Caenorhabditis elegans: one gene and its partners. The protein of the gene in region 1 interacts with the protein of each later gene in a pairwise test. Each region holds a gene or a part of one and is shown in the gene's direction. Other genes may lie near its edges.

The links. Proteins that work in one complex are often made in the same cells at the same time.
Region 2: the proteins of klp-11 (region 1) and ifb-1 interact in a two-hybrid assay, tested with the Caenorhabditis elegans proteins (one large-scale study listed by BioGRID).
Region 3: the proteins of klp-11 (region 1) and srdh-1 interact in a two-hybrid assay, tested with the Caenorhabditis elegans proteins (one large-scale study listed by BioGRID).

The regions. Positions count from the first base shown.
Region 1 is NC_003282.8:8,755,369-8,764,853, reverse strand, and holds klp-11 (Kinesin-like protein), read left to right. Parts: upstream 1-2,787; 5' UTR 2,788-2,857; coding exon 2,858-2,902; intron 2,903-3,448; coding exon 3,449-3,504; intron 3,505-3,553; coding exon 3,554-3,658; intron 3,659-3,797; coding exon 3,798-4,047; intron 4,048-4,090; coding exon 4,091-4,183; intron 4,184-4,235; coding exon 4,236-4,306; intron 4,307-4,357; coding exon 4,358-5,318; intron 5,319-5,369; coding exon 5,370-5,467; intron 5,468-5,685; coding exon 5,686-5,828; intron 5,829-5,918; coding exon 5,919-6,034; intron 6,035-6,604; coding exon 6,605-6,707; intron 6,708-7,200; coding exon 7,201-7,346; intron 7,347-7,628; coding exon 7,629-7,717; intron 7,718-8,046; coding exon 8,047-8,119; downstream 8,120-9,485. Other genes in the region: F20C5.11 (uncharacterized protein), read left to right, coding at 8,134-8,169, 8,219-8,415, 8,718-8,885, 8,935-9,321, 9,397-9,485.
Region 2 is NC_003280.10:5,763,388-5,772,946, forward strand, and holds ifb-1 (Intermediate filament protein ifb-1), read left to right. Parts: upstream 1-2,230; 5' UTR 2,231-2,254; coding exon 2,255-2,387; intron 2,388-4,834; exon of another isoform or gene 4,835-4,958; intron 4,959-5,557; exon of another isoform or gene 5,558-5,573; coding exon of another isoform or gene 5,574-5,613; intron 5,614-5,711; coding exon 5,712-5,962; intron 5,963-6,259; coding exon 6,260-6,381; intron 6,382-6,426; coding exon 6,427-7,215; intron 7,216-7,325; coding exon 7,326-7,527; intron 7,528-7,574; coding exon 7,575-7,682; intron 7,683-8,139; coding exon 8,140-8,304; 3' UTR 8,305-8,697; downstream 8,698-9,559. Other genes in the region: Doublesex- and mab-3-related transcription factor dmd-5, read right to left, coding at 8,804-9,027, 9,076-9,297. UniProt on the Caenorhabditis elegans protein: Cytoplasmic intermediate filaments provide mechanical strength to cells. Essential protein, involved in attachment structures in epidermal cells that connect muscles to the external cuticle. Required in morphogenesis and epidermal integrity.
Region 3 is NC_003280.10:8,262,723-8,269,189, forward strand, and holds srdh-1 (L-serine deaminase), read left to right. Parts: upstream 1-2,466; 5' UTR 2,467-2,479; coding exon 2,480-2,530; intron 2,531-2,781; coding exon 2,782-2,974; intron 2,975-3,027; coding exon 3,028-3,146; intron 3,147-3,203; coding exon 3,204-3,509; intron 3,510-3,565; coding exon 3,566-3,784; intron 3,785-3,870; coding exon 3,871-4,023; intron 4,024-4,072; coding exon 4,073-4,531; 3' UTR 4,532-4,579; coding exon of another isoform or gene 4,580-4,612; 3' UTR 4,613-4,638; downstream 4,639-6,467. Other genes in the region: K01C8.2 (CC domain-containing protein), read right to left, coding at 4,580-4,612, 4,662-4,951, 5,024-5,246, 5,293-5,478, 5,530-5,806.

The DNA.
Region 1 (9,485 bases):
AGCATAATTTTAATAGATTCAAGCCAAAACGGGCAATATTGAAATTTTTAATATTGCAAAATGGAGGTTTAACACCGAACTTCGCAGAAAAAAAAATTGAAAAAACGAAAGTAAAATTGAGTCTATACAATGGAAAAGTCAACAGTCAGAAAATAAGAGTGTGGGAAACGCAGAGAAGAAAATATTGAAGAATGGCAAGAAAACTGTGCCAAGATGTGGGCAAATAATGTAGAAATATTTTTTGAAAGGTGTAGTTTGTGACTTTGGACACGAAAAGTTGATTGAATTTTAAAGAATTTAAAGAAGCAGTTGATTCTGAAAGCTTTTGCTCGGTCCGATGACCATTTTAATTTCGTTAAAAAAATTTAACTGTTTTTGAATAAAATCATAGATTGATGTGAGATATGAGTAAAAAACTAGTTGATTTGTCAAAAACTTCATCATCGATGAGGAAGGAAGTGTTTAGAACTCAAAAAAAAATAGTGAAAAACTCTCTACGATTTCGAGATGAAAATTATAATCCAAATAAGAAATACTTATGACAAAAAAATCTAGCAAGAAACATTTATTCTAATTTCAAGTTAATTTTCTTGAATATGTTAGATTCCAAAATAAAATAAACGGAACGGAAACTAAAGAGATGGTTGTTGGTGTCTGCTCACTATCAGTTGATGACTCAACAATTCTTAAGTGATGAGTCAGTTGAAAAGGAGAATCGATTTTAAAAGGGGAATCATACGTATATAATGGATGCTAATATCGAATGAAAATTATATTAAATTATGGAAGAATCTCTTTGAAATTGGAAGGTTTGAAAAGAATTCTCAGCCGTCTAGGCTGAAATACTACAAAATAAAAATGAAAAATATCCCGAAAAAATCGTGTAAGAATCCAACTTAAAAAATCGAGATTTTCCAATTCTACCTAATTTCGATTCTTTCCTAATCTCACTTGATTTTGATTTGATTTTCTACATTCCTATTGCCAACGATGTTTTCAATAATGTTAATGAAATTTTCTTGTTTTTTTCCCATTAAAGTGAATTCAAAATATTTTATTGTCATATGCTTGGTTCTAGTAAATTTTTAATTTTTTGAAAAAAAAAAGAACGAGCCCTATATGATTATATGATATGATCACATGATATGATGAGTATATGATTTTTTGCTTGGTATTTAAATTTTAAAATTATAATTTAAAATTCTACTTTTTGAAGAAAAAGGAAAAGCCCTGGTAGTTGAGCCATAGAGAAAGTGCAAAGAGAACTGTTCCTGATAATTTTGAACATTTCTGAAAAGCTTCAATAAAATATCTAGAGCCTGGCCTAAGCAAAGAGCTCCAATTATCTTTTCCGAATCAAGACCTTCAATTATATCCAGTCACATGATTTGTTTTTATTCATAATTCACTTTTTTAGACTTCGGTCTCCTGTCGCACTTTTCTGCTTCACTGAATTTTCTGCGAATTCTTGCATGCATTTTCAAATAATCTGCAACATTTTACTGATTCTCTATTATAATTTCAAGGAAATTTTATTTCATTGCTTTCATTGCAGCCTGTCTAAAATTGTTCTAAACCGATGTCAGAGTATAGACATTAAAATTTGTAATTTTTGCAAATAATCTTTTTTTTTAAACCAATCATTGAATAAAATCTCAAAAAATCAAGTTTCAAAAGTCTCTTGAATTAATAACTAAGAGCTAGAGCTCCCCTGGTAGGTAGATGCGTTTTCAGGCCCTGGCGCATGCCTTAACCCTTTTTCATGTATGTGATATAAAAATAGTCTATATACATAGAAGCCATGCTACTAATAATGTATTACAAATCAGTGAATATCATCAAACATTATAACTTCTCTGTGAATTTTTTCAAAGAAGACTATCCGGAATTTTACTTTTTCTCATTTTTAAATAAATCAACAATGTTATGGTAAGCTTCTGATTCATCCTATGTCTAGTTGTGTTTTAATTTAAAATCTACACATGTCTATGATTACTTTTTGAAGCACCTCCATCCCTTTATAATTCAAAAACGTCAAGTTTAAAATGTATATGTTTCCAAAGTTTCGGACACATGAACAACTACTTCTGAGTGTTCACTAGAAACATATGCTCCATTCTTCACATTGTCTGCGTCTCTCAACTGCGCAGGATCGATATTATGCACATTTTGTGCTCTTTTAACCCTCTCCCTCTCTGTCCCCCATCTTGAAACCACCTTTTATTCCTCCAGAAGTCTCCTTCTCTCAAACTCTCTATCTGCGTCTCTTCGTATTTTTACTATCACTCATCTTCCGACATCTTCTTCCGATTACTTCTTCCTCGTCTTTTCGGGAGTGACAATATTACTTTAGTCCATCCGTTTTAGTACTTCTTTGTACGAAATGTAACACTTGTGTGAACATTTTATAATGAATAGGATCTGTTTTTTTTGCTTATTTAGACATTTTATTCACATTTTCATATTATTGAAGAACTTTAATATTTTAATATTTTGATGAGAAATTAGAAATTTTCTCCATTTTTCAACGTCAATGATGTTTTCAATCTTTTTAATGCATTTTTTTCCTTTAAAGTTAATTCAAAATATTTCTAAAAATTTCAAATGTATGCATATTTTTCCGATTGTCCAGATGTGACATAAAACCAAAAATATTGAAATTCCACGACTACAATTTCTGGTTTTTAGTCACTTTCTCTAGCGGTTATTGCTTCAAAATTCCGTTTCTCGATACAATATGATTATTTTTCCACATTAAACTAATCTTCTTAAGTTCCAGACCACTCTCACTAAATCAGGAATGCACCAAAATTTTCCTTGACACCTACATTGATAGCCAAATATTTAGTGACAAAAAATGGTGGAAATAATGAAAAAATCTTCAAAACAGGAGACTGTCAAAGTAAGTTTTTTTGGGGTTTTCAAAATCTTTTTTTTTGTTCGAAACATGTTCAAAAATTAGTTCTCAAAATGTAAAATAAATGAAGTATTTTTTAGAAGTACGAAAAAGAAAAAAAACTAAAATTCACCTGTCTTCAAATTTTCCATTTTCCAACATAAGTTATATTCAACGTAATAAAGTACATGCTAGTTTCTAAAATGTCTGATTTTGACCAAAAGGTGAGTTATTTTAATTTTAAATTAATTTGAAACCGTATTTTAATATAAGCACTAATAAACGTAATTTTTCAAGTTTTAACATAATTTTTTTTTAAGTCCAAAACGTATATTAGTTTTTACTAAAAATACAATTTTCCTCTAAAAACTTTTCGAAGCATCACTATTTATGATTCAGTTGAGTTTTGCATTTGAAAGAAAAATCACAAGACTCTAAGTAAATTGTACTTTTTTTCGTTACTTCTCATACAAAAACCACCAGCTTAAAAATTTCATAATCCAGTTTTATACATTTCCAAATTCAAATAAATGTATTTATTTATGTTTACAGGTAATTGTGAGATGTCGACCGTTATCTTCACAAGAAATTGCAAATAATTATTCAAAGTAAGTAAAGTTTGAAATATTTATATTTTGAAATTTCGATCATTTTCAGAATAGTACATATGCGACCACAACGTGGGCAAATTGAGCTGAAAAATCCAAAAGAGCAAGATGAGCCATCGAAGGATTTTACATTCGATGCAATTTATGATGAAAAGTAAGATTATTTATTTCTAGGAGTACATCACTTTTTTTTCACCTGCTATAGAAATATTAGTATTTTTCAAAATTATTTCTCCACAATTTTATGTTTATGATTTTATGAGTTCTCTTTTTTAAAAATATATATTTTATAGTTCCACACAATCGGATCTATATGAAGAAACCTTTCGAGATCTAGTTGATTCGGTTCTAAACGGATATAATGCCACGATTTTTGCATATGGTCAAACTGGAACTGGAAAGACTCACACAATGGAAGGAAAATCATCGGATCCAGAACAACGAGGTGTCATCTATAAGTGTATTGACCATATTTTTGAGCACATGGCAGCATCACATAATCAAGAGTATTTAGTTAGAGCTAGCTATTTGGAAATTTATCAGGTAAGGCGTTAGGATGTGTGATTTACAAAAATGAAATCTTTAGGAGGAACTTCGAGATTTATTAGAAGCCGAATCGAATAAGAAATTAGAAATTAAAGAACGTCCAGATGGAGGAGTTTATGTGAAAGATTTAACGGTAAGTGATAGTTTTCTGAAATAGAAGACGACTATAAATTTCAAAGTTTCAGTCAAAATTAACAAGGACAGTAGGTGAAATACACGAAGTGATGATTCGAGGAAATGGGCATCGGTCTGTAGGGTAAGTTATTTCTGTGGTCGCCGTTGGATTTGATTTTACTAAAATTTTCAGGCGAACCAACATGAATGAGCATTCGTCTCGTTCCCACGCTATCTTTATCATTACTGTTGAATGTTCCCGAATTGGTGAAGACGGAGAAAGTCATATTACAGTTGGTCGACTAAATCTTGTAGATTTAGCTGGTTCAGAACGGCAATCGAAAACAGGAGCAACTGGCGAAAGATTTAAAGAAGCTACGAAAATCAATCTTTCATTATCGGCTCTTGGAAATGTAATCAGTGCATTGGTGGATGCGAAATCTGCCCATATTCCTTATCGAGATTCAAAACTGACTCGACTTCTTCAAGATTCTCTCGGTGGAAATTCAAAGACAGTTATGGTTGCTTGTATTGGACCTGCAAGTTACAATTTTGAGGAGACACTTGGTACATTACGATATGCAAATCGAGCTAAAAACATCAAGAATCAACCGAAAATTAATGAAGATCCTAAGGATGCTTTACTGCGAGAATTCCAAGAAGAAATTGAAATGCTCCGTGAGCAACTGAAGCAGAGAAAGACAAGATCGAGGGATGGAGCAACTCAAAGTTTTTATGATGCTGAACGAGCAAAACTTGAAGATGATATTGAAGCAATTCAAAAAGATGATTCACTGATAAAACATGAAAAGGATCGATTAATAAGAGAAATTCAAGAGAAGCATGATCTGTTAGAAAAGGAACGGATAGAACAAGCACGGGTTGCTGAAAGAATAGCAAACATTCAAAGTCGACTTATCGTAGGATCTGAAGAAGATGGAAGGTTAGAATCAAGGACAAAAGAACAACATGCACAACTGGAAAAGAAGAGAAGAGAACTTGCCGAACAAAAACGAAGGGAAAGAGAAATGGTTGAAGCATTGGAACGGCAGGAAGAGGATACTGTGGATTTGAAACAAACATTTTCGGATTTAAGGACAGAGGTGGAGGCAAAGACAAAAAAGTTAAAGAAGATGTTGATAAAGTTGAGACAGGTTTGACTTCAGATGTACCAGGTGTCAAGATAAGGTTTGTGAATGTTTCAGGCTCGCAATGAGATTCGTGATGTGTCTGGAGCATATTCCGACGAACGACAAGATCTGGATCAGACAATTGCGGAAGTGAGCAAGGAATTGAAGTTGAAGTAAGTTCAGTGATATCTCAATTACAATTTAATAGATTCTCACTCATTTTCATTTCTTTCACTTTCTTTCGTATTCTAATTTGAATTCAAATAGTGTAATTTGATACCGACAGCGCAGGTTCTTTATTCTCACAATTCTCTCCTTTTCCCCCCAGAAGAATTTTCTTTCGTTAGGATTTGATGTTCATTTTTTTTAATAGAATAATATAAGTTTTCAGGCTTCTTATTGTTGAAAACTTCATCCCTCGAGACGTGAGTGAAAGGATAAAAGAACGAGCAGAATGGAATGAAGATAGCTTTGAATGGAATGTTAACGCATTTCAATCAACTTCTTCTAATTCGTCAACACCATTAAACAATAGTAAGTTTTGTGTTTAAAAATTAATTAGATTGAATAGGGGACTTTTATTTAATCAGATTTCCAATTCAAAACTAATTCCTCTTATTTCAGCAATTGAAGTCAACGAAGACGGTGTCTTTACACGATCATCTGGTGCCGATAGTGGTGTCTCCGTGAGCGGCGGAAACGGGACGCCTGCGACATCGCAATTTTTGGACAAAAGACTGGTGAGAAGAGACTTAGAGAAACGAGAGCGAGTGGCTCCATTAGGCATGCATTCGAGATTCTAGCTCATATAGAAAAAGAAAAAGAGGCAAACAACATTTTCGATTTCTTTTTCTTTTTTTTGTGTTCTTGAAAATCACGACATCGTGTGTCCAATTCAGTTGTTCCTTTTCTCATTTTTCAGTCGAATTCTGAATATTTTTATTTGTAGTGGCATTGTATAATACCGACTTTTGTAGTTCACTATGTCAGTGCTTAGAAAGTATTAAGTACATTTTGATACAATTCCCTTATACAAGCTGTGGCAACTTACTAAAAACTGCTCAAATATATTCCCATGTTTCTGGCAGGACGTTGCCTAAAATCTGTTAGTACTGATTACAAAAATCTGAATACAATAATTTGGGTAATATTATTGTAATAGTATAACTCAAAAGTACAGTTCATAAGTTTGACCGAAATTAAAATTTGTATAACTTTAGAACCAATTCAAATTTTATATGAGCTATCCACCATCATTTACAAAGTTACCATTACTAAATTAGGTTTAAATTGAATAATTATTTATTCAGGTGGCAACTCCTGGCTGTCGACGGCCTATGTCAATGTGTGAGCGGATGCTCGTGGAAACAGCTCGAGAACAATTCGGTGCTCAGAGGAGGCCTCCTATATCAGGTATATATTTTTGAAATATCTTTTTTAAACATGATACAGTGAATCTAAAATATCACTTAAAACACTTATCTAATTACTTTAGGTGTCTCTTATAATTCTAGAAGTTTGGATTGAAAAAGTTTCATCACAATTTCCGTTTTCTTATCTAATTCTCGCACTCTCATCTTCACCGGAAAACTGGCCTGTCGTCTCTCCCGGGTGGCCTTATGTTTCATGTTTCTCTTTATCTATTTATCTATGCAGTTCTGATGGACTGACGCTCTCTGTGCTCTTCCGCAACTTTTTTTCTTTGTGTGTACTCTTGCTCCCGGCAGTTGTCGCCTTTCATTTTTCTATTTCACTATTTGTTCCCTACCTAGTTTTATGCATTTGTTTGTTTGACGATCTTTTCAAAACCTAACACCGAATTTAGAACTCCATCAGTTTTTCTTGACTTCTTGACTACATTTTCAGTTTAAAATCCATTGAGCTTACAAAAATCGAAAATTTTCAGGTTCAGGATCGTTTGTCGAGGCGACAATTCCCGAGGAGACAATCCGATTCTGTGGGGAGAACGTTGTCGTTTTCAGTGCTCTGGAACGATTTGTTCCAGAGGTGACTGACTCGGATCCGTCCACTTTTTCAAACTCAATGATGATGGTACGTTTCGAGGTTTTATGGCTTATTGTTAATTTATTAAAATTGTTCAAACAACCTCAACTCTAATAGAAATCAAAGTTCTATTTGAATGAATTGAGCGAAGGATTAGTGAAAAAAGAAGGGATTTTTATGCAGGATATCACATGCATTTTATTAGACTCGTTTTTTTTCTCTATCCTCTTCTCATCAGAAATATTCGTTATTAACAACATTCATTTTTTAGACTTTGAGTTTCTCATTTATTTTTTCATTTGAATATTTTTTCAATCCAGAAATTTTCAGTCAGCACGTCGTCCATCAATCGAGAATCTGACAATCGACGCGTCGAAGGTTCTCGTTCCAATTCTGAACCAATCGACTATGATATTAAAGTACGTTTTTTTGTGGAATTATTGTCATGAATATTCTGTTTTAATAGTGAAAATATATGCTGACGAAAAAAGTACAGTTAAAAAATGCAACAAAAAAAAACAAGAAATGGGTCCATTCGATTCTAAATTCAAATTTTCTGACTTTCGAAAAGAATATCTGAAATAAAATGGCAACAAAACTTGGATATAAGGACCCGCCAAGATCTTGGCTTTGCTGAGATTTTACATCGATTTTTTATTTACTAAACGGAATTAGTTTGTACTAGTTTTTGATTTTCACTGTATATGACACACAAATAAGAACAAAAATTGCATGAAAAACATTTCAGAAATTCAAAAAACGGTCAAGCCCGCAACGACACAATGCCACCGAACGGTTCGATGAGAAGAAGCCAGAATTAGAAAATAATGAAACGATGAATGAGTTAGAATATGTTGATTATCTTATTAATGTAAGTGCCAGATTTTTGTTAGATCTTTAATTAAAATTTAATTTTCCAGAAAACAGAAGAAATGACTAGAAAATTGAATGAATCTACTGATTCTGATGACTACCGTAATCCATTGTCATCTGGGCGTGGTTCTATGACGTCATCATCAATCAATGAACCACGAATGTTTATTTCAACAATGTCGACACCAAGAAGAACTCCATCTAGAATTCCAGCTTTAATGACTAAAAGCTTGCATGCTCCAAGGTAAGTGCAAACGTTGGATTACTAAAAGTAAAATAATTCTTCTCCACATGTGTGTCTTTAATGGTGAAGTATCGTCTGCCAGGTTAAAAAATATATAAATACTTTCATATCAATCATATCAATCTTCCAAATTTTTAGAAAGTTTGGAATTTTTATGAAATTTCAAAAATTTTTGGTTGACTTCCAAAACTATGATAGGTGAAACTGAGTTATTGTCAATTTTTGACTATATTCGAAAAAGTTTCAGAAATTTTGGTTAACATTGTTGCTCTACTTGCCATGCTTTAAACATCTGATTTCAGATCCTTGTCAACCCCTCAACGTGGTGCAACAGTCTACGGTTCGGGAGAGCAGCTTTGTGCTGAAAATTCTGGAGTTGGATTTTCAAGTAACCGGAGAATCGAGACGGAAATGCTTTTAAGTAGAAGTCAAGAGAAGAGAAAACAGAGGGCAAGTAGTTATGATCCAAGGTAAGATCTTTACAGTACTGTCCACATAAACAACGTTTCAAATTTTCAGATGTCTTCTTGCTCTTCACTCATCTCCATTCCGTCTGTCAACATCTGCATCAGCCACTTCTTCATCTCAACACCAAAGATTGTTGACGTCATCATCAATCCACGTTGCATCCTCATACTCTCGACTTCTGCCTCGACGCCCTCAATGGGTTCGTAGTCAACCATCAAGTTCAGTCCAACTTGCTGAATCGACAGTATCATTGGATTCTTTTGAATTGATGAATACTAAATCCAATTTCTATTTGGATTCCGATGAGTCTTCTTCTGATGATTCCGATGCTGAATTTGGTGCTGAGTGTTCTGTTGATGGTGTTGTTGAAACACCGAGAACACGTCGAAAGTTGATTTCAGTTAGAAGGTTGAAAGACAGAAATCGAAAGAAATTCAAGTAAGTCTAGTTTCTCTATTTGGCATTCTATTATATTCTATAGAAAATGTGTTTTAGAAAAATCTTAATTTTCAGATGTTCCATGAAACGTCTACATCCACCAACTTCACCATCAAAAATCTCAAAAAGTGCTTCAAGTTCATCCGATCTTACCTCATTCTTCT
Region 2 (9,559 bases), on another chromosome or scaffold:
CATACAGGCGCATTGAGACCTACCCACTTAGCCGGGAAGAAAGCTATCATATCGGCTATAATTTTTCAATGCTAAATGAGCGCATGATGCCTACCCGCCTACCAGTAGACTTACTTACCTTCCTACCTACCTCCTTGCCTATCTCTCTTGCAAGCAGAGTCGTACCTGTAGATAGGCGGGTAGGCATATTTGTGCATGCTAGTTTTCACATTTGCCTCGAGATTAGAAATTGGCCTCAACTTACCGTATTCTTCCTATTAGACTTGTATCTTCTGGTTCTACTTTGGCAGAATATATCTCGGTTGCTTTAAATTTTATCAATAAATTGTCAACTACCAAATATGTACCAAATATGTCTCTATATTTTGGTTGTAGAGAATTTTTTGATAACACTTGAGACAATTGGAAAATAGGCCGTCAAAGTAGAGTAATTGTGGTGCAGACTTTGTAGGGAAAATACGGTATGCCTCAGCTTTAGTACTGGACGGCGATAATTTTAAACTATTTTTTTACAGGTTTCAATGTTTACAAAACTTGTTTACTGACAATGAGTTCTTAATTTTTTTACCACAGCCCAACATTAAAAATGCAAAACCTTAGCCAGCACGGAACATTTTCGTAGAACTATTTGATCACTTGTACCTCCAATCTTGTCATCATTCTCACCCATAAATGAAAACAAAATGTTAACAATGTCTTATTCTCCCCCTCTTCCAATTCCCTCACTAACATCTCCTCATTTTTCCATTTCAAATCATTTCTCTCTTGTCCTTGACTGTGATAATCGGCCACTTCCTATGAGGTAAAAGTAGTCGTCATCTCTTCTAAATTCTCTCGGAATACGCCTATACGCCAAGCGCATCATTTCAAAAAGTGAAGCGCGCAGAGAGAAAAAAGAAGGAGGAACGCAAATAGCAGCTCGTTTTTCGACGGTTCGGCAACAAAATGGGGGCGGAGCAATTGGTGGGGGCGCTTCTCAGGGCCTCTGCCTCATCGACCCCCGGCGCAACAGACCGTCCTCACAATACCCTTTCGGTATTCTGTAGGAATGCTTGTGTGTGTGTGTCTTTCCGATTTCATTTTTTTCGCTTCACTTTTTTACTCCGAGCAGAGCAGGAGCACTGTGTCTTTTTCTACTTTTATTCACTCCACCCCAAAGTTACTTTAAGCTTTCTAAACTATCGTGAATGAGTAACCGAATGGTTTAGGATTTCAAGTAGTGTCAATTAGAACTTGGTCATACAATTACTCAATAAATTTCCAACTTTATGACTCACTGAACACCCACATGTTTCTTCACATCTTTTGCTAGTTTTATTATGATTTTAAGTTTGAGTCAACAAGCTTTAGGTATGAAAATATGAATACTAAAATTAAAAAAAAAACAGCAATTCATTTTCAAAATCATTCATAAAAGTTGAAAACTTTACGAAACAAAATGCAACATAAATTTCGCTGTCCCACTTTTTTTAGAAAGTTTTTCAGATCTGAACAATTAAGTCTTTAAAGGAGATAGGCATGAAATCATTCCTTTTTGCCGGCTTTCGTACTTGGTTGCATCCTATTTTTCCTGTGAATTCTAGTAGGTTTCGTGCCTACCTAGAAGGTTTTTATTATTTTGCGATCATTTCACGTTGCTCGAAAAAAACAATTATAAGAAGCATTTACTGTAGTCTGCAGAAATAAAAAAAAATCAAGATAATCTTTTAAAAAAATCATGAATAAAATCATTTAACTTCCATCATTTTCTCGTCATTTTCCACCCAATTCTTGCAAATTTCCCTGCACAATGCGCGAGAAATTCAATCTCTATTGTTCTTCCATCTAACAATTCTCCGGAATGTGCTTGGGTGTTTCAATTTGTTTGACAGGTTAACGTTGACTCACCATCATGTCCTTCCACCCATATTCAATTCTGATTTCCATGAACAAAAATGGGCGTGTTCAGTCACTCCTCCTCCACCTTATTTGTTTTCTGTTTTTTTGTGGAGTGTACTCAAAAAAATGTTGAACATATATATGAGTGTGTATGTTTGTTGAAAACCGGCCACGCTTATTTGGGTTTTGATAAGGAACAAATTGGATGCCGAAGGATGCAGAAACATTTTTTTTTATCATATTGTTGTTTTAAGGTTTAACACTTTTTATTAAAATTTGTAATTGTTACTTTTTGCTCAGTTTTCTGTATTTTCCCAATTCAGCTTCTATATTTTCAAAAAAAAAATTTCAGGTAGCGTCAAACTTCTGAAAGAAGATGTCGTCTCACAAGGAATCTTCCGAGTACGAGATGCAATACAGATCCACCATCCAGCCAAGAACAGCGGTTCGCTCTCAATCACGTCAGTCTGGAAACTACGTGTCTGGTGGAAATGGAGCAGGATCCGGAGGTTAGTTAGATTTTAAAAAAATTTAAAGTTGAAAACGGTAAAGATTAAAAAAAATTTCAGCTATTACTATATCCTTTCCTCTGAAAATAATCATCAATACCAGGAGCATTTCTTGTTTCAAATTCTTGATTTGAAATCCGGATAGTTATATATCTTTTAAAAAAATTTCCTACTGAAGTCTAAGCTTCAGAGATCACTCAATTTCCAACGTATTTTCTATACTTTCCTGTTAGATTGAGAGTTTCAGAATATACTTTTATTTTTTCAAAAGTAGTAAACCTTCAAGCTATTTTTCTCCTGGACCGGTCTTATAGATGACCTTAATTCAAGTTGACACTATACATCCGATCAACTATTAACTGAACCAATATTCCAATATTCTTTTTTCCTTTCTTTCTCTATTTCTCTGTTTACATGTTTATCCGTCTACTACCCATCCATAATTATGTATTTGAATTCAAAGCGAATTAGTGAACAGTCGCATCAATCGAACCGAACACTTTATTCTCTCTCTCTCTCTCTCGTTCATCCGATTGCAAAAAAATAGTTTGGGTGGTTTTATTAATCAATTGGAAGATGAAGTAAATATTGGTTTTTGCTGTGCTATACAATAGAAATGAGGATGGAAATATAGACCTGGAGGATGAAAAGAAAATATAAAAACGAGAAAAAGAGAGCAAGAGTCGTTATCAGTGCGAACGCGTTGATTTGTTCTTGGCTAAACGAAACGTTTTTGAGAAAGGTGAACAGTTTGGTAGAGGATAATATTTTGAGCAGGGATTTTACATTTTTTCTACTCGGAGTTGATCCAAAATCTTCTGCTTAAAAATATCACTTAAAATCAATTATTTTCGAAATTATAAAAGTTAAAAGATAAAAAGTAATACTTTATGCCTTTAAATGCAATTTTTAATTTAATGAGTTTTCTTAATATTTGCTCACTTGGCAAGAAACCACACTTTTTCATAGTTTAACAAAAATCTAGAAACAGGTTTTTATGAAGTGAAATTTCTGTGAATAAATGGGGGAATTCCTCAAAAATTAAACAAATATTAATATTTTTGGAGTTTTGAGGCAAAAATGGGGAAAATTTGAAATTGGCAATTTTAGCATAAAATGTCAGGATAATTAAAACTTCAAAAACTGCAGTCGAAATATATTTAATTAAAAGCTAAAAACAGTTTTTAACAGTAAAAATTTGAAATTGAAAATTGTTTGTTAAGTCAGAGATTTAGGTACGTAAACTTACTACATAGTATTAGCTTCTTATAACTTGCCGTAAGCCTACGCACGTATCTGCTGCCTAAACACAAGTTATCTTTTATGTTTGTAATTTTTAGTTGTTCTTTGAGCAAGTTAACTCACTGTGAAAATAGAAAATAGGCAGGCATTACCATAACAAAAGAAAAATTGTTCTTTTTTATTGTTTTAAGCAAATCTGGAGATCAAGATCAAAATATAAGACCACAAGATTTTTTTCCGGCAGCCCATATCGTTTCCTATTCAACCGTCATTAAATCCACTTTTTCTCATCCAAAAAATCCCATAAATCTCTGGGTTTTCTCGTCTCTCGATACAGTCTCACAATTAGCATAATCACTGAGGAACGCCCTTCATTTTCAAACCAAAAATCTATTGAATTTAAAAGTTCAAGTTCCATCAAGTTTATAGTGCATGACAGAAAGAGTTGTTAGGCAAATAGTCTTCAACTATGCATATACATAAAAATGGCAACATTTTTGGAAATAAAATGCAAAAAGCAAATAACAGATTGAAAGAGGCACCAAAATTTCAGACAGTTTTAAATACAATATTTCAATTTTCGTAACCAGTTGAGATAACATGTATAAAAAGATACATTGAGCCGATTAAGTCAACAAAATGTTTAGTTTGTTGTTTCTTGGGCACACTTTCCGCCAGCCGGCTGACTGCTCAACACACTTGAAAACTTGACGGACTTTGAAGAAATCCGAGCTTTTATTGATTTTATTCATCATTTATTTTAATTTTGTTTTTTTTTGGGTAACGAATTAAAATTAAAAGAATCCCCTGAATAACTTTTAATTTAGAATACAGTTACGAAATAGATGAGAAATAGGTGAGAAAGGAAGGAATGACCACACCCAAGATGTGACTATTTTGAATGATGAGAAACTGAGACATGGAAAACACCCATTTTTTATGTGTGATTAGTCATTTAGTTTTAATGAGTGAGAATTGGGTGGAACAGTGACAAGAACTTATTATACTGATTATCACTTGATTTATGAGATCTTCTCGGATAGAATCTCGGATTTCTCCGATTTATTGCAAGATGGTGTAGAGTTTTTTTTTTCAATTAGAAATGTCCCATCTTACATTTAAGTTGTCAAAACTAATTTTTTAACCAATTTTGTTCTAACTTGAGATAAGTCAATTTTTGCGGCCCGTGTTTCAAGATTCTTAAACTTAAAAACATTTTTGAGGACTGGAAATGATGTTTTTCTTAATTGAATTTCTATCAAATTGACAAAAATAAAACAGGTACGTTGGCCTAAAAATAAGCCTTCCTACCATTAGATTTAGTTTCTGAAACAAAAATATCTCCCTTACCAAAAAATGTCAAAAATGGAATCCTAGTTAAATTAATTAGCTTCCCCGCAATTTAAAAAAGATAACAAAAATGAATGATTGAGATCTGATCAAGATGATTATCTTTAGTTGACTCCGCCCACAACAACCTTGACGTATTCTTCATCTTCAATTTCTAAGTAAGTAGTGTCTTGATCTCTTTCCACTTTTCTTCCAATTTATCCATTCATTCATAGGCACAGTCAACTCGCAATCTGTACGTATGTGTACATGTCCGTTGTCTTCAACTTATCACCATTATATCTTCTTCTCTTTCTCCATTTTCTATCATCGGTGATGATCGGGAAGGCAAAACCATTGACACACCTTCATTCTTTTTCTCTAAGTTCTCCACAAATTTAATGCTATTTCTTCGTTGGGTGGAGTATTCAGAAGAGGGTCAGAATTGGTCGACGGTTTCCGTTATTTTGCATAGTGTTTGTGACACTTACATTTAGTTTCTATACCATTTGTTTTTCATTTTTCATTCAGAAATTTTCGAACTTGTTCCTCATTATTTTTTTTCCCTTAATCTTCTAGAAAAACTTTAAAATTTCAAGCTAAAACACATCAGAAATGGAGGCTGAATCAGCGCCACAGGCACCAATGTCAGGAGGTAAGAATAGAAGAATATCGAAATATAAATTCCCAATAGAAATATAAAAACACTCAAATCAAATCTAATCTCCTAATTATCATTATAAAAACGTTCAGGACGCGTGCTAAAGATGGTGACAGAGATGGGATCAGCTACAGTCGGAGGAATTTCACCGGCCTTGTCCGCAAACGCAGCAAAATCGTTCCTTGAGGCGACTGATAAGGAAAAGAAGACACTGCAGGGACTCAATGATCGTCTCGGAAATTACATTGATCGTGTCAAGAAACTCGAAGAGCAGAACCGTAAATTGGTTGCTGATTTGGATGAGCTTCGCGGAAAATGGGGAAAAGACACATCCGAGATTAAGGTATTTTAGTGAATTTCAAATAAATTTTAAGCAAGCTTCTGCAAGCAAAAAACTGAAGTAGTTGTAGAAAAAACATTTATTATTTGATTGTGAATCAGTAATTTCTATTTAGATATATATTCGAAACTTTCAAGATTTTATTTACTATATTAGAGAATTCTCTCAAACATCCTTAAAATCTTCAACTTACCAGAAGAAAATCTGTGCGCTTCCTGTCCAGTGTTTTTTTAAAATTTCAACCTATATTTTGGAACAAACTTCTTAAAGCTTCTTTCCTATTCAAATTGTTAATTTCAGATCAAATACTCCGAATCCCTCTCAACAGCTCGTAAGGACATTGACGATGCTGCTCGTAGAAAGGCAGAGGTTGATGTGAAAGTTGCCAGACACCGTGACGACTTGGCTGAGTACAGATCCAGGTTTATTTATTCTTAATTTTCTGTTGCTTATCAATATTTATTCAGATACGAAGATATCCAGCAACGCCGTGAGTCCGATCGCGAGAAGATCTCCCAATGGACCAATGCTATCGCTGATGCTCAATCCGAAGTTGAGATGCTCCGTGCTCGTTTCAAGCAATTGACAGATGAGGAGAAGCGTGTTACAGCTGACAACTCGAGAATCTGGGAAGAACTTCAGAAGGCCAGAAGCGATCTTGATGATGAGACCATTGGCAGAATTGACTTCCAAAATCAAGTGCAGACTTTGATGGAGGAGCTCGAATTCTTGAGAAGAGTTCACGAACAAGAGGTTAAGGAACTTCAAGCTCTCCTTGCTCAGGCTCCAGCTGACACCAGAGAGTTCTTCAAAAACGAATTGGCTCTTGCCATCCGTGATATCAAAGATGAGTATGATATCATTGCCAAGCAAGGAAAGCAAGACATGGAGTCCTGGTACAAGCTCAAGGTTTCCGAGGTTCAAGGATCTGCCAACCGTGCCAATATGGAGTCCACCTACCAGAGGGATGAGGTCAAGAGAATGAGAGACAACATTGGAGATCTCCGCGGAAAATTGGGAGATTTGGAGAACAAGAACTCACTTTTGGAGAAGGAAGTTCAGAACTTGAACTACCAATTGACCGACGATCAAAGACAATACGAAGCTGCCCTCAACGACAGAGATGCTACATTGAGAAGAATGCGTGAGGAATGCCAAACATTGGTTGCTGAGCTTCAAGCTCTTTTGGATACCAAGCAAATGCTTGACGCCGAAATTGCCATCTACAGAAAAATGCTCGAGGGAGAAGAGACCAGGTAATTATTATCGTTATTTAATCAATATTCCCAGCAAGCCAAATTTTGGGCAGTTTTGTTATCATTTTGTTCTAAAACCTTTCTCAAAAGTTTCAAAAATATATTTGCAGAGTCGGACTCACCCAAATGGTTGAGCAAGCCGTCAAGACGCATTCTCTCCAACAACAAGAAAACACTGATTCGACAAGATCAGTTCGCGGTGAGGTATCCACCAAGACCACCTTCCAAAGATCCGCCAAGGGAAATGTGACAATTTCCGAGTGTGATCCAAATGGAAAGTTCATCAAGCTTGAGAACTCGCACAGAAACAAGGTATGTTGAAGCTTTTTGGTTTTGAAATGTTGAAAATTTTATTTCAGGATGAGAATGTTGGTGAGCACAAAATCAGAAGAAAGTTGGATGGAAGACGCGAAATTGTCTATTCCATTCCAGCCAATGTTGTTATCAAGCCAGGAAAGAACTTGACCGTAAGTTATTTTTATCATTGTTTTAGAAAAAAGTGTGTAGCTATGTAAATATTCTTAGTATTTTTTTAGTCTGCCACTATATTTTTGAGAAACCCAGCCAACATAGTCTGAAGCCCGTTAAAAACGTACTTTCACCTGAAAATTTCCAAAAAAAAAATTTTGAAAGGGAATGGCCAAATTTTGCTAAAATCTGAAATTTTGTGAGATTGTCCATGTAGCAATATCGGAAAATCAGTTGTTATTTCTCTAATGCTCTTTATCAGAGTTACAGGTTTTAGAAATTTGAAAATGTTTTCCCCAAGTTTTGAGCCACCATAAGAAATTTGGAAACATTTTCTGAGAGGTCTCATTATGAAATTTAATCGTTTCGGGTTAGTCTAAGGGTTTCTCGCATTTGCTGAGAAACTAATCTACATAATTTCGAAAAGAGAATATTCCAATTCCAATAAATTTCCAGATCTACGCCCGTGACCAAGGAGGCATCAACAACCCACCAGAGTCTCTTGTCTTCGATGGAGAGAACACCTGGGGAATCGGAGCCAATGTTGTGACGTCATTGGTGAACAAGGATGGAGAGGAGCGTGCAACACACACCCAGAAGACCATCCAATCCGGACAATAAGCTCTCATTATTTTTAAACAACTTTTTCTCTTTTAAACAACTCCCCAAAATCACTCAAGTTCTCTAGTTTCTGTCCATAATTTTCTTATTATTCTTGATGATAGACCTTCTCGACATTTTTTCTTTAAATTGATTCATTGAAACTGCCTAAAACTGACCAAAATATTGAATTGATTTGCTTAAGACTCTTCACTTAAAATCGCTAATCTGAAATTCATTTTAAAAAACATCAAAAAAAGAACAAAAACGTTTGCAATTCTTTTCATAATACACTGCTTTTCCCGTTCAAACTTCAAGTGTTTCCCCCCGCTCATTTTCCACCGAAAAATCTTTCTATTCAATGTTTTCTACTTCTTTTTCAATTTTAATAAGATTTTTTATTCAGTTTAGTTTTTTTTAATTGAAGACAAATCATAAATACAATTTTAAATGTGACCATATAAAAATATACAAAGTATTGGAACTCTGATTCTGACGATAAGAAAAAATATTCAATTTCTCAAAATGTTTTATCATTTTCTCGGTATTCTTCTTCGGCTTCCTCATTTTTCATTAAACGATGACTGTAATCCAATGGAGCAGTTTGTGGGAAAATTGTGCTCGGTGATGACGTGGCAATTGTTGGCTGGGCTGAGAAGAACGCTGGTGGAGCTGCGAGGCTCGCAGCAGATGCGAAATCTGACATTGATGGAGTTCCGAAGAAATGCGGCATCACTGAAAACACTGAAAATAAGTTTAATTTACGAAATAATATTGAATAAGCTCTCTTACTCGGAAATCTCATGAATGGTCTTCCATACACAGGATTGAACATTGGCATTGAAGAGTATCCATTTGGTTTGAAAACTGGACTTGTTGGAATCACTGAGCCACTGGTATTTGGTGTTGATTCAGATGAGAGCTCAGGTGGGGAAGAAGTGCTTACAACAGTTTCAGAACCTGTTGGAGAGCTTGGTGAACTCCGTTGTCCCTGTGAGTCTTCGTATTTTTCTTCTGAAAGGTAGTGCAAGGTTAGTTAAGGTTAATCTTTTAAATGAGAGCAATTGACTTGTAAAGTGCTAATCTAGATTAATCCCATCAATATTGTGAATAGCTTATCCCTCTCAAATGCATCTGCTTCTCGTAAAGCTTACAGTGCTCTCTAGCTAATTGACTTACGCAACCAGGTACGGGGATTATGGAGATGGGGTAAAAGTGCACCTGTTTCCGAATACGCAAAAAGTTTAGCACGAGTGGGGTTCGAACCCACGAGGTG
Region 3 (6,467 bases), on another chromosome or scaffold:
GTCGAAAAAAAAATTTTTAGAAAGCTGAGAACACGTTATTTACGAATTTCATGTTCATTTTTGATGAATTTCCGTTTCAAATGGCCTGAAATTAAAACATGAACCTAATTATATTCTCACGTGACACTTTTTCGCTAAACAACAACTGGGGATTCGATCAGTTTTGCATCTTTTTAAGCAAATAATAAATTTCACGTGAGAATCGAATCGGCGCCGTTTTAATTTCAGACCATTTGAAACGGAAATTCATCAAAAATGAACATGAAATTCGTAAATAACGTGTTCTCAGCTTTCTAAAAATTTTTTTTTCGACCCGCATATCCCAATTTCATTTTTTGGTCATTTTCCGAAAGGCAAAGGTCCGATTTCATTTTTCGGAGCGGAGGACGATTTTGAAGATGAACATTATTTTTGAAGCAATTTTGATGGATCCTGATAGAGCACTAAAAAGTGCGATGTTTCGTCCAAATTTTAATTTTCTGCGTTGGATATGAAGAGTTTTATGGGTAAAATTGTTTTTTTTTTAACGGTCTGTAACTTGGCTAAACATGACAATATCGAAAAACTTGAAATTGATAAAATGTGGCAAAATATTTTTTAGTTGTTTTTCAACAAATGTTTTTTTTCTGAAACTCAAACAATGTTCGATTATGGCGGATAAAACGGAAAAGTCTTTCCCAGTTATTGCATATGAATATCATCACTTTTGTACATCAAAACACTTCTTCGAACCTTTTAAATTTCAAGATTTCATCAGTTGAAGGTCATACAAGACAAATTGCAAGATATCAGAGACAAAAGTTTTTTATTACAACACCAGACATGTTACATCAGGAAACCGATATTTTCTAATACCTCACATACTTGTAGTTTGTACTTTTATTCAGAATCATAAAAGTTGAATTTTCAATTACGATTACCAGACTCTTCGTCTTTTTATTTTCTGAATTTTCTTATCAAGTGTCTTCAGTCACACATTTTGGCCTGTTCAAAGAGAAGAACCGCGTGTCTATCAAGTTCCTTCTACTGCACTCAGTTCGTCATGTACCTTAGAATTCGGGAAATTGAGAATTTGAAATATCAATGAGGCCAAATGATCAATTGAATTAGATTTGCACGTGTAGAGAAATGATCGAATCTGTCATTTGATACCATCATGAAATTAAGAAATATTTTCACTGATTCTGAAGATACCAAATACTGGAAAACAAACCAAATCTATCTGAAATGTAAATGTTTTAAAAATAAAGTTCCAACTTTTTTTTTCTAATTTAAAGCCTGGAAGGATAGGCGTTCATGAGTCGATGTATATGAAATGTCAGGAGTTTTCGGGTTGCAGTATGAAAAGTTACATTCATCAAAACCATCAAAGAAGAAGTTTTCTTGTAGACTAGTTTACTAATGATATTAAAGATCTTAAAGAAAATAACCAAACTTGGTTAGAACAAGCGACCTGTATAAGTTTTATACAGAACCGGATATTAGTGTTCTCAAAGTTCAGAAAAATGAATGGAATGACCAAAGCGGAGTGGAATTTAAAGAAAATAAATGTCTCATTTTTTGTCTTATAAATCATCCTGAAAAATCTTACTTAAAAGGAACCAGGCAGTTTGATTCAGCTTTCCTTAACACTTTTCTTTTTTCCATTGCTCTTGTGTTAAGAGGGAAGTCTGAAGAAAATTGGACTTTCACATAGAAACCGTACCTAAAATTTTTTCAATTCACATTTCCAAATACCGGCTACCTCTTGAAAGTTTTAGTTTTGGAATTATCTTAGAAAAAGCCAAAACTAATCGTTCGCCAAAATAAAAACGTCACTAGTCTCTCACTTCTGACATTTTTGTAAATACAATTCAGCCAATAAACCATTCAAATGAACTTTGCTTCTCCTTCTATCATCTGTTTCCTTATAAAATCTCGTCATTTCTTTTATTGCTTACTTGATCACATTTCGCTCCTTGATCCCTCTGTGTTTATCCATCTATCGATCGAGTGATCACCACATTTTCCCAATAAAAACACCTTTTCGAATACCTGAAACGTCGTCGAAACCGTTATCGTTGGGAGAATTTGATAAGGAATTTGATGCAATTTAGTGTTTTTTCGAAAGGCGGAGCTTCATTTTCAACCCACGTGTCGACGAAATCTCTTTCGGTTTTTGGCCGATCAAGACTATAAAGTGAGTTTCAGGACAATTGATTGTTCTTTAGTTACTGTAAATTGGTATCACTGTTATCACAAGTTATTTAATAATAAATATCTTATTTCTCTGATTCTTCTATTTTTTATTCTTACATCAGTTTTAGAAAGTGTTATGTTTTCAAAAACAATTTTATCTAGGTTAAAATAACCAGTTTTTCTAGATTTCCTCTATTACTGCCCTTTTATTTTTTTGAATTTCTATTTTATTATTTATATATGCTACAAATTTTCAATTTATGGGAAAACATACTTATAAAATTTCAGCCTCAAAATAATTATGGTTGCTCCATCTCGAAAGAAGTCGATTATTCATCATCATGATCACTCTGTAAGTTAAAATTTCAAGTTACTAAAATATTTAAATTATCCAAAAGGTTACGGAACGGTAGGCAGGCACATCCGATTTACATGCCTGCCTAGCGCCCGTGTTTTGAATTCAAATTGTTTGTTGAAAGTTCGGCTTGAAATTTAAAAGAATTTAAAGCCCCCCCCCCCCCCTTAGACATGAGGCAAGCTTATGTTACCTCCAATGCTCCAACATTAAAAGATGTTTTTAAAAATTAATCCAATTATTTTCAGCATGAATCAACACCTCAAAAAACTCACCATCATCGAGTGAAGCAGGCTGAACGTAAACGGACAGCAAGCATCAGTAAAGAAGATGGAATGGAATATAACAAAAGAGTTCGAAAGCTTCATAAGGCATTCTTAACCCATGGAGCCGAGTCCCCACATGTTGATGATAAACAGACTTCTGGAAGTAACAGTGATAGTGAGTTACTGTTCTAAAGACAATATAAATTTACGAAAATTATAACTTTTCAGCTGAAGCTCCACTTTTCGATCCGGATTGTGATCCAGAGAACCCAAAGAAATTGAAATTTTCTGATATTTCAAGTGCTGCATTTAACATTAAAAATGGAGTTCAAACAACACCATGTGTGGTAAGTTTTCGAAACAATTTTATATTTTACAATTTTTCTTTAATTCTAACTTTTCAGCGATCTCTTCAACTGTCATCCAAGTGTGAAATGGACCTTTATTTCAAAAAAGAATATCTGCAAGTGACAGGATCATTCAAAGAACGAGGAGCAAGATACGCTCTTTCAAAAATGGCTGAGCAATTCAAAAAAGCAGGAGTGATCGCTGCGAGCGCAGGAAATCATGCTCTAGCTCTCAGTTATCATGGACAACAAATGGGGATTCCAGTGACAGTGGTCATGCCTGTTATTGCTCCACTTATGAAAATTCAATTCTGCAGAAGCTTGGGAGCAACAGTTATTCTCAAGGGAGAGAGTATTGCAGTGGTTGGTTTTTTTTTTGCAAGGAAGGCAATAAAACTTGAACTTTCTCTAAATTTCAGGCCAAGGACTTTGCACTTCGTCACGCTAAAGAGAATCACTTAAAGTACATTAATGGTTATGATGCAATTGATATTCTTGCTGGACAAGGAACAATTGGACTTGAAATTCTTGATCAAGTTCCAGATGTTGATACAATTCTTGTACCAGTTGGAGGTGGTGGATTAATTGCTGGAATCGCAACAGCTGTTAAGACATTGAAGCCGGATGTTCATATTTATGTAAGCTCATTTCTCATAATTGCAAATTTTAAAGTAACCGTTCGAACTATTTCCATTTTAAAATGAATATTTTGTTTCTTTTTCAGGGAATTGAATCAGAAACCTGCCCATCGTTCACTGAAGCATATGAAGCTGGCCATATAATAACTTCCCAGGCCAAAGCGTCACTTGCTGATGGTCTCGCCGTTCCCACAGTCGGCGGAAATTCTTTGGAGACAGCAAAAGGCTTGGTTGATAAGGTTTGATAGTTGATAACTGGGTCATTACAACTGATAAGAAATGTTGCAGGTTATCACAGTGAAAGAAGAAAGCATTGCGCTGAGTATTTTAAGACTTTTGGAAGTTGAAAAGGCTGTTGTTGAAGGAGGAGGAGCTGTTGGATTAGCAGCTATTTTGGAAGGAAAAGTACCAGAATTGAAAGGAAAGAAAGTTGTTTCAATTCTTTCCGGTGGAAATATTGATACAACAGTACTTGGAAGATCAATTGAAAGAGGATTAGCTGTAGATGGAAGACTTGTTCGTTTAGAAGTTGTCGTATCAGATAGACCAGGAGGTATTGCTGAACTAACAACTACAATTGCTCATCTTGGAGCATCAATCAAAGATATTTTCCACGAAAGAGCATGGATCTCAACGGATGTATTCCACGTTAAAGTTAAGGTTGTGGCAGAAACTCGTGGAAAAGAGCACGTGGAGGAGATTGAGACTGCATTGAAGAAAATTTATGATAATGTTATACTTCATTGAACTCTCTATTTTCAAATATATTAAAATAAAACGATTTCACTGATGAATTTATGTATTGGAGCAGCATACTGTTACAGTGGGCTGAAAATAAATTATTTTTAACTTTTTTTTTTGGAAAAAACCAACTTACATTTACACTTTGCTGGCACGAATAATTATAGGGACACTGACTATAAGTAGTTGGTGTACATAGTTTCGGAGCACCATTGACAAGTAATGTCTTCCCGTTGATACAAATTAAAGAAGAAGCAAGGCGACAACATAAAAATTGGGATACTTGATTTGACGGTGCACATGAATATCCAATTGGACATGATGTGTCAAGTACAGCTGTGCAAGTACGAACTGCGTTATCCACTTCATTTTTGTAAGAATTCCAACCAGTCGGACATGAAAGGTTTTCCGGAATCGGGGTCGAACCTAAAATTCTAAATAGAAAAATCGCTAAGTTATGTGGATTTCAGTTGACGAGCCTATCTTTAATATATTTACCCGTTAAACAACACACATCTACGAACGGATCATCAGATGGTGCACAATCATAACCGGATGGGCAACTTGTGATAGCACTCGTGATTTCACAAGTATAAGTTTGACCAGCAATCTGTTGATAAACCGGTCGCCCATCAGCGCATCCGATCGTTGATCCAGTTGACCCTTGTCCACAGCAAACATATGTTGCTAGAAGTACTGATAGCTGGCACGTGTACCCGGCCTGAAAGTTGTTTTTTTTTTGTTTCAATCAGAATAAAATAAGATACCGATGAGCATTGTGTTCCGGGTGTTGTGCACATCTCGAGAGCTCCATTTGTAATAAGTGCAATTTGGTTGTTAGAGCAAATTCTCTGCGAGCTTGAGGATCTGCAACATATGAATGCAGAGTTGAGAGTACTTTGCATACACGATGAACCAGATGGACACGTGGATACAGAAGGACTACAGGATACCTAAACATTATTTGGTATTAAGATTGGGAAGTTTTAAGTTCTACAACCAACCGTTCCTCCATTTGAACCAACTGCTGGTGTGAAATCAGATGGGCAAGATGAAGTTGATATTGAAGAGGAACAACATAGAAAAGTGGAAGCAACATTAGAAGATTGTACACATTGATATCCAGTTATACAATTAGTCGGATTATTTTGTGAGCATTCTACATATCCTATCGTGGATGGTTGAGAAACTGCATTATTTGGGCATATTGGTGTAACACCAGAAGGTTGAGAACAACATATTAAAACTCCTTGACCATTTGCAGCAGTGACACATATCGAACTGAAAACAGAGTTGATTTTTAGAAGTTACAACTTTCAATTTAATCAAAATCTTTATCAGCAAAAAGTTACAAAAAAAAACCGAAAAGGTTGGTTAAATTTTTATATTCGAACGCTAATGGGATGATGCAAGTGAATTTCTCGTCATTTCTCGACAAATATTTTGCAATGCAAGTGTGCGGAGAAATGACATGAAATGTCGTGAAATTAGCAATTTCTCCGCAATTTTTCCGCATTTCTCGACAATTCCCGACATGCGAAAAATACTCATTTTTCGTCAAAAACCACGTCATTGGTTCACGGCTTTACCTTCTCAGACTTTCACAATATTTTATTTTTCCTATTTTACACTACTTTCAACAAACGCGAAGTCTGTGAAGGTAAAGTCGTGAACTAATGACGTGGTTCTGACGAAAAATGAGTTTTTCGCATGTCGGGAATTGTCGAGAAACGCGGAAAAATTGCGGAGAAATTGCGAATTTCACGACATTTCATGTCATTTCTCCGCACACTTGCATTGCAAAAAATTTGTCGAGAAATGACGAGAAATTCACTTGCATCATCCCATAACAGTATTTAGATACAAACAATCTAAACTTTATAAGAATTTTAAACAATATCACCTAACTTCGTCGGTCAACTTCCAAGATTATGGTAACTGA